2 linked regions of the Cricetulus griseus genome follow. The protein of the gene in region 1 purifies or fractionates together with the protein of each later gene. This does not show direct contact. Links are inferred from orthologs where the notes say so. Each region holds a gene or a part of one and is shown on either strand. Other genes may lie near its edges.

Region 1 (4,950 bases):
AATTTCACAATTTCTAGAAAACTTTGAGGTTATGAAAATACCAGGTAACCAGAAAGATTAGCCAGCATAGGTCTATGTTTTAGCAAGTACTAAATACTTATTGATTGCCTGTTTCATATAACATCATGCAGTCGTGGTTCCTGTAAGGCAGGGGAAAATAACAAAAGGAACATTGTCATGATCATAACAAGCTAGGGACCCAGTACACTGTAGAAAGAGAATGCCCAGTGTAATAATACCCGTTAAACATTCATTTTAAGGCAAGTAACTACTTAACAGACAAAGACTGAGCAGGGAAATTCAGTTCATGATTTGGGCCATGCAGACATGAAGTAAGAAAGAACATGGTGCCCTGCTGGGCCTCTGAAGACTTACATTATACAACATATAAACTCATACTAAAGAGTCAGGGAAAACCAGAGTGCAGTTGGAAACAAAAACAAAGCACTTAGAGTTCTGAGAAGGTCATGGAAAACAGGAGCTTTGCAACCCGAGCAACAGAACTTCTCTTCAGTCTGTTGCTTATAATTGCAAAGTAAGATTAATTTCAAAGAAACATCTGGTTCTCTAGAGTATTGAGATTGTTTTGCATGCTTACATTCACTTTAAAAATTAGGACTAAAAAACAACAAAACACTTTATTGTTTTAACAACTCATATCACAATATCTTAGCCAAAACATAATAGCTGAGACTAAGACAAATCCCTTTCTGCTAAATTATTTTTTTTACAACACATCCTTTATTTTTCACCATTAGAAGAAATACAAATGTGATATAATTCCTGTGCATATGCACAGAAAGCAATAAACTCAAGTGAAAGTCTGGGAAAGTTAAGGACATAAGCTGCCTTTGTTAGTTTATTTTTCTTAAATCATAGAGAATTGTTACAGAAAGTTATTCACAGCCCTTGTGTGGTCTATGCATACCCTATACATTGCAAAGGTACAGAAACAGAGTAACTTACAGCATGACAATGAATTAGACATTCCAGCTCCAGTGATAATATAAAGATTGGAGAAAGCACCAAATGATCTTGGTGCATGACTGGACCTTTCTTACCCATCAGTTTCAGCTTAGATGTCCCCTCCTCCAAGAGGCCTTCTCCAATCATCCAACCTTAATTCCCCTCCCTCAGTCACTAGTATATTACCCTGGTGTTTCCCAGTTTCTACAAACCGATAGTGATCTGAAATGATCTTGTTTATTTCCTTTAGTTTTGTGTGTCTTCCTCCACCAAAATGTAAGCTCCAAAAGAATAGGTACCTTCTGAGTCCCACTCACTGAATCCCCATGACACAGAAGGGTGTCAGCACACAGTAGGCACTTAATACAATTATTGAATAAACTAATTAGGGCAAATAGATCAAACAACCCTATAAAGTAAGACCAGCAGAATAAAGAGAATTCTGAGAATGGCAGCTTTGAGAACAACTGTATTCCCAGAGAACTAGGTACTTCTAGATTGCAAAAATGGCCATTAAAAAGAGTGAGTCCAGCCAGGCAGTGGTTGCACATACCTTTAATCCCAGTGCTAGGGAGGCAGAGACAGGTGGATCTCTGGTCTACAGAACCTGAGGTACAGGACAGCCAAGGCTTTTTACACAAAGAAACCCTGTCTCGAAAAACCAAACCAAAATGAAACAAAACAAAACAAAAAAATCAAGAGTGAGTCCAGATTCCATGATTAGCAAGAGGGCACTACATATCTCACACCAGTTACCATTTGCAAGCAAGGTTTTATTTTAAGGGAGTCTTGATGACAAGGTGAACCCAACCATAAATCTCCTGCCCCATACTTTACCATCAGGCATTACTGGTCCATGGTCCACTTACATTCATACCAGCCTCTGCAGGTCCAGACATGCCTTGTCTACTCCACTTATAACTGAGTACGACCAACCTTTGTCCAATGAGCCTCTTAGCAAACCCTGTAGAGTCATAACTCCTATCTGCTCATTCATAACCAACATCCTGCCAGAAATGTCACTGAAGGGAAATGCAAAGATAACACAGCTTCTGAGCTGGCTGCTTACCACTAAGTTTCTACAAATACATAAACTTCCCATAGAGTCAGTAAAGGGGGAAAAAGCTTTTAGGCACATGCTAGCTGTACATTTGTGGCAAGCTAACATCATCCCTGCAGCCCAGCTTCCTGTCTCAAAGCGATTTTATGGGAAACCAATGAGCTAAAGCACAGGCAGCAATCAGCAGTACTGTATGTAGGACATGTAGAAAGCATCAAGACGTGGGGTCTGCTTTCTGAATGGGGGGATGGATAATGGTGATTTTTAATCACCTGAGTGTGAACTCCTGAAGAAAGGAGAAAATGTTTAGGTTTTGCTAAGATTAAAATGTGGCTTGAAAACATGAGAAGGGGACAAGGGCTTCCTCGGCTAAATCCATCTCTAGCTGGCTGTCATACGCCTGGACTGGGGGGAGGGGGGTGAGAAGGCTGGAATCCGAATGAGAAGGGTAGGAAGAAGCAAAGGGTGAGAACCACCTAGCAGCAGCAGGGGTGCTGGGGAGAACTAGCTTCACTGTCCTCGTGCTGATGCTCCACAGTGGCAAAGGTGGAGTAAACAGCACTCTTAGAGCCCTTGGTTGTGGTAACCAACGTTCAAAAATAGCCAGTGCACACCCAGAGGGACGCCTCCATCGCCCGCACCAAGGGAGAAGCCCAAACCTCTCCCGCGCCAAGCTGAAGCCCCATGTCCTATGCCTATTCCTCAATGTACTATGCTTCACTGGGCGGAGGCGGAGCCAGCATCCAAACATCCCCTCGAATCTCCAGCCTCCCCATCCTAGGTGCCTGCGTGGGCTCGTGGCCAAGGGAAGCCAAACTCGGCCCGGAACGCCCGCACTCTGCTCCGCGAGACACCAATGCCGCCTGTCCCGGTCTCAGCTCAGCCTGGACCGGTAAAGAGACGAACCGGTCCTCTCTCACTCACCTTACACCCACCGCCTGGTCAGCTTCTCTGAGGCCAGTGGACCGGCCTCCCTCAGAAGCAAAGGCCTCAGTCGGTTCAGGCAGAGCGCATCTGGGTCCGCCGCCTTCTCCTCCTCCTCCTACCCGCCATATTACGGGTCCCTCAGGCGGCAACGCGGGATCCTGGCAACCGCCGCCGCCGCCGCCACTAGCTCAACTCCACCCCTCAGGGCCGGCACTTCCGGTAGCTGTTTGGCGGGCAGTTGAAGCGGTTGAGCCTCTATGGACTACAATCCCCAAAGTGCATTGCGCGTTAGCAATTGCTGACATAGTCCTTGCGGCAAGCGAGATGCACACTGGGAAAAGTAGTCTTCACTGCAAACTAAGGGCTTTGACTTATAAACTGCTATAGGAATTCTCAGGACCTAAAGTCTCAGAAGCGTTCCTTGTTGTCGGGTACTTTTTGCTTATCTGTATAAAGAAAGCCTCATCCTGTTTGGTCGGTGGCATTCACCAAAACGTTTTCTCTATAAATGAAAAAATGTTGCTGAATCTTAGATGACAACTCAAAGGCTTAATTTAATATGTTTGTGCTCATTTATAGATCAGTGCAGGGAACTGTACAGAGGAAAAGTAACAGATTCAAGTTGTCAGAAAAAAGTCCACAAATATTTTTTTAGTTCCTACCTAAATAACTTATTGCTAACGTTTTTGACTGCAACTGGGCTTTACCTTCCTCCCAGTGCTTGCTTTTATGAATGTACAGTGAGAGTTTTGAAGAGCCTACCAAGAATGGTTGTGAGGCATAAATGAGAAAACCCTTATTATAACACGTGGTATGAAAATCTTTTACAGGAGGAAAGAGTGGGTTGGAGAGGAGGCTCAATCAGTGAAATGTTTGCCACACACAAGCATGAGAAACTGAGTTCAGAGACTCAGCAATCTCCAAAAAAAAAAAAAAAAAAAAAAAAAAAAAAGCTGTGGGCCCTGGCTGGAAATTGTACTTCTCAGCTCTTGAGATATGGAAATAGGAGCTCACTAGAGCTTGCTGGCCAACCATTCTAGCTCCAATTTCAATGAAAGACCCTGCCTCAAAGGTAGAGTAGAAACCTACTGAGAAAGATACCAAATGTCTGCCTCTGCTCTCCCGACATATGTATACACACACTTACACTCATGCCAAAAAAAGAGAGAGGGAAAGGAAAGCAGGACAAGTAAGAACTGGAGGCAGAGTGGAAATGATAAGAGGACACAAGGGAGCATCTGTCCCAATGTCAGAGAAATAAACATGGATGCAGAGAGAATGAGCTCTTGGGCAAAGGCATTGAATAGAGGCAGTTCCTCTAGCAGAAGGGATGGTGTGAAGGAAAGGACATAAGGAGCAATAATGACAGAGACAGGAGGGCACCTACAACAGAAAATGAGCCCTAAAATGGATTCTAAAGTCTAGTAATTTTCCATTAATCTTGAGGACAATGTGTTTTGTTTTGTTTGAGACAGGGTTTCTCTTTAGCTTTGGAGCCTGTCCTGGAACTCACTCTGTAGGCCAGGCTGCCTTGAACTCAAAAGATCCACCTGCCTCTGCTTCCCTGATACCGGATTAAAGGCATGCACCACCACTGCCAGGCTGACAATGAATTTTTCAAGCACAGACCTGGAACCCTTGTGACCCTCGTTTCTGCCTCCTCTATGCTGGGATTATGGGCATGAGCTACCATCCCAAGAAGAGAATAAAATCTCTTTTAAAGAAATCTCTTCTTGAGCTGTTAAAGGCTAGGCTCACAACCAAAAATATAAGAGCTTGGTTCTAAGCACCCATGGCTGTCTTCCAGCTACCTTTAAAAAGAAATCTCTTCTTCCTGTCTTAAGTTTTTTTCTTGTATAATATAGAGCAGGCCTGGGAGATAATAATGGGCTTGATTGCCAGAATACACTTTAAGAAGCAGGGCTTCAGTGCACACACTAGTAATCTTAGTGCTGAAAAGGCAGGGACAGGTGAGTATCTGGGACTCACTGGCCAGC
Region 2 (4,200 bases), on another chromosome or scaffold:
ATATGTGTACATATAAGAGAACTGGGGTGTATACACACACACACACACACACACACACACACACACACACACACACACACACTTTTATTGAAAAGTATTCTAAATAAGCTTACATATGATGGAAATAATTTAGTAAGGTCTCTCAAAGTATGCCAGAATCTGGGGGAAGAATATCACCCCATTCTATGACTGACAACTGCCAGGACTAGCAGAATAAGATGAATTATTTAGAAGTTACTTAGTTATGTTACTTACAGTAGTCAGTACTTTCTGATCCATAAAAAGTCTAATCTTCAAAAGAACTTATATTATGTACTATTACAAAAGAAAAGGCCATCAGCTAAATGAGTTAGCACACACCTTAAATCCAAGCACTCTGGAAGTAGAGGAGGGAGGGTCTGTGAGTGCAAGGCTAGTCAGAGCTACATAGTGAGACCCACCTCAAAACTCCACATACACACCAAAAAGAGAAACCTAAAAATCCAGGGTGCTAGACAGATGGCTCAGTTGCTAAGAGCACTTGTTCTTGTAGAGGATATGCATTCAATTCCCAGCACCATCATGGCAGCTCACAACCCTCTGTAACTCCAGTTCCAGGGGATCTCATACCCTCTCCAAGCATCTGTGGACACTGCACACTGTGCACAAACACACATACATACATGCAGGAACAATGCCCATACACATAATATTTAAAAAAAACACTATGTAAATATTAATCCTCAAATTACATTCATTCTTCAACTCCAGAAATTACCAAAGTATTTTTGGTTTTTCAATACAGAGTTTCTCTGTGTAGTCCTGGCTGTCCTTGGAACTCAGGGATCTACCTGCCTCTGCCTTCCAAAGGCTGGGATTAATGACATGTACCACCATACTGGCCTCCCACCACGAAGGCCTCCATACAAAAAAAGTTAAAGGTCTACAGGGTGAGTTCTAGAACAGAGAAAAACTGTCCTGAAAAAAAAAAAAATCCCCAAAAACAAAAACCCAAACAAAAAACATTTTTATAGGGAGAAAAATAAAATTACAAAGGACTAGGGTGCAGCTCAGTTTGTAGAGTGCTTGTGTATTATGGACAAGGCCTTGGGTGTGACCTCAGCATCACATAAACCATGTATGTTGGCACACACCTAAAACTCAAGCACTAGTGGGTGTACGCAGAAGAGGCAGAAGAGTCAGAAGCTTAAGGCCACCCTCAGCTATACGCTGAGTTCAAGGACAGTCTGTGCTATTTGAGACCCTAGCTCAATAAAGGAAAAAAATTAAAAACTTTAAGACATCTTTTAAAGGCACTAAATTATTTAGGCAGACTTCTTCGATTCTGCTTGTTTTATGGCTTTAGGTTGGTAAGTAAAATATATCGAATACACTGATACATTATATAAACTTTTTCTTTTTTCCTTACGTTTATTTCACGTGCACTGGTGTTTTTGCCTGCATGTATATCTGTATGAAGGTGTCAGATCCCCTGGAATTGGAGTTACAGACAGTTGTGAGCTATCATGTGGATGCTGGGGATTGATGCTGGTCTTCTGGAAGAGCAGCCGGTGCTCTTAACCGCTGAGCCATCTCCACCGCCCCCCACATTATATAAACTTTGAGGTGTGTGTGTGTGTGTGTGTGTGTGTGTGTGTGTGTGTGTGTGTGTGTGTGTATTTTGTGTTTTGTGTTGTTGAGACATGGCCTCCCTATGTAGCCCAGGCTGGCCTCCAACTTGAAATCCTCCGGCGTTAGCTCATCCCTCCTGCTTAAATCTCCCAAGTGATAGAATTATAAGCATGAACCACCACAACCAGATTCAAACTTGGACTGTTACATTACAAAACCAGGTGTGGTGGCATGTACTTGTAATTCCAGTACTTGAAGGTACAAAAGACTGTATACATGATATATATAAACAATTGACTAAAAAAAAAAGAAAGAAAGAAAACAATTAACATAGCAAAAAATAAGAGAAAATTAGTAAAGCAAGAAGTAGGTAAGGGGGGCTGGAGAGATGGTTCAGAGGTTAAGAGCACTGACTGCTCTTCCAGAGTTCCTGAGTTCAATTCCCAGCAACCACATAGTGGCTCACAACTATCCCTTATGAGATCTGGTGCCCTCTTCTGGTGTGCAGATATACATGGAAGCAGAATGTTATATACATGATAAATAAATAAATAAATCTTTAAAAAAATTAAAATAAAAAAAAGAAGTGGGTAAGAACTCATTTAAATAAAAAATAGCACTGGAGAAGAAAACTAGAGATACTCATTTACTGTAATCAATCTCTCTCTTCCCCGACCCCACAAGTTCTCACTATGGAACTCAAGAGATCTGACTGCCTCTGTTCCCTGAGTGCTGGAATTAGAAGCTGAGCCACTAGGCCGGGTTTATAATCTCTATCGCAGAAGCTGTGGCGGTTGTTCTTCAATAAAAACCAAACAAACTTAATTAGGTATCATTACATATTCTTACCTGAACTTTCTCTGTGAACTTCAAGCAAAAAGCCGTCATGGAAATCTGGTTCACAAGCACATGGAACAGGTTTTGAGCGAAAACGTTGATTCCGATAATGTAAACATAAAGTAAAAGTTGAACAAACTTGTCCTGGTAAAGGCTCAGGTTCTTGCAGATGTTCCAAGAAAGCTTTTCCACCCAAAACCTGAAGGTAAAGATACCTTCGTGTTGGATCAATATTAGCTGCAAAGTGTAGCAACATATGAGGAAACTGCCAAATAACTGATTAAATGTGATCAAGACATTAGAAACGACTTGATAGAAATACTTTGACTAAAATAAACAAATAAATAAATAGATGAATCACCCAATTTACTATGTTGCAGAATCATCTGTGTTATGGCAAGGAGAGAGCTATGATATGATATTCTTTAGTGAATTCACAGTCTCACTATGTTTGAGAGAATCAATGCAAAGGTTAGGTGTAACTTTGATTTTTAGCTGTTTGTAAAGCATATTATCACCTCCACAAGCCAACTCAGATCATTATCAACTTAGTAACTATATTTATCTAATTATTTTACTATATTAAAATAGCAAGCACATACAGTTTTCTTTCTTTGTTTTTAGGACAGGGTCTCTCTGTGTATTCCTGGCTGTTCTGGAACACAATATGTAGACCAGACTGACCTTGAACTCTGCCTCCCAAGTACTGGGATTAAAGGTGTTGTACCACCAGTTTTTATAAAATGTATCTATCATTAAGACATAAGAAAACAATGCTCCCGGGCTGGAGAGATGACTCAGCGGTTAAGAGCACTGACTGTTCTTCCAGAGGTCCTAAGTTCAATTCCCAGCAACCACATGGTGGCTCACAACCGCCTTGAATGAGATCTGGTGCCGCCTGCCTGCATGCAGGCAGAAGACTGTATACATAATAAATAAATAAAAGAAAATAAAAGAAAAAGAAAACAATGCTCCCAATTTTGGCCCAACAGTACTATATAGTATATCATATATTTCACGCAAAACTGCATCTAAGTTTTAGGTTAACTAATGACAAATTTTAAGTACTTCATTTTGAAAAGAATTTCTATCAAATGCCAAACACTATGACATGTCCATTACCAATCACAACCAAGTTTATGTTAAAAATATATATGTATATACATACTTTTTTTTAATGTTGACTGCTTATCAAAAGCAACAATTTGCTTTGGAGAAGGGAGTTCTTGATCAACACTGTCCTAGAAAAGTAGGGAAAAATACAAATTAGAAAATAAAAATTCAGCCTGGGGGTGATGGTGGCCCACACCTTTAATCCCAGCACTCAGTAGGCAGAGGCAGGGGGATCTCTGTGAGTTCGAGACCAGCCTGGTCTACAAGAGGTAGTTCCAGGACAGCCTCCAAAGCCACAGAGAAACCCTGCCTGGGAGGAGGGGGGAAAGAGAAAAATTCTAGGACTTGAGAAATGGCTCAGCCGTTAAGAGCACAGACTGTTCTTCCAGAGGTCCTGAGTTCAATTCCCAACAACCACATGGTGGCTCACAACCACCTTGAATGAGATCTGGTGCCCTCTGCTGGCATGCAGGCAGAAGACCATATACAAAATAAATAAATAAAATCTTAAAAAAAAAAAGGCTTTATTTTCCTAGCCTAATTAAAATGAAAATACATAGCTTCATGAGAGATGGAACTCGTAAAAGTCTAATATGAAGGGATTCAACTGTTTTTAATTCTTGCCATCCACAATTTTTT

What was found. Proteins that work in one complex are often made in the same cells at the same time.
Region 2: the proteins of Ccp110 (region 1) and Cep76 purify together in Homo sapiens (co-immunoprecipitation; 4 studies listed by BioGRID and IntAct, with this or other methods). This does not show direct contact. The link is inferred for Cricetulus griseus from reciprocal best matches to the Homo sapiens genes CCP110 and CEP76.

Annotation. Positions count from the first base shown.
Region 1 is NC_048596.1:81,893,817-81,898,766, forward strand, and holds the start of Ccp110 (centriolar coiled-coil protein of 110 kDa), read right to left. Parts: upstream 3,145-4,950; 5' UTR 2,951-3,144; intron 1-2,950.
Region 2 is NC_048595.1:171,770,687-171,774,886, reverse strand, and holds part of Cep76 (centrosomal protein of 76 kDa), read right to left. Parts: intron 3,690-4,200; coding exon 3,617-3,689; intron 2,686-3,616; coding exon 2,461-2,685; intron 1-2,460. UniProt on the Homo sapiens protein: Centrosomal protein involved in regulation of centriole duplication. Required to limit centriole duplication to once per cell cycle by preventing centriole reduplication.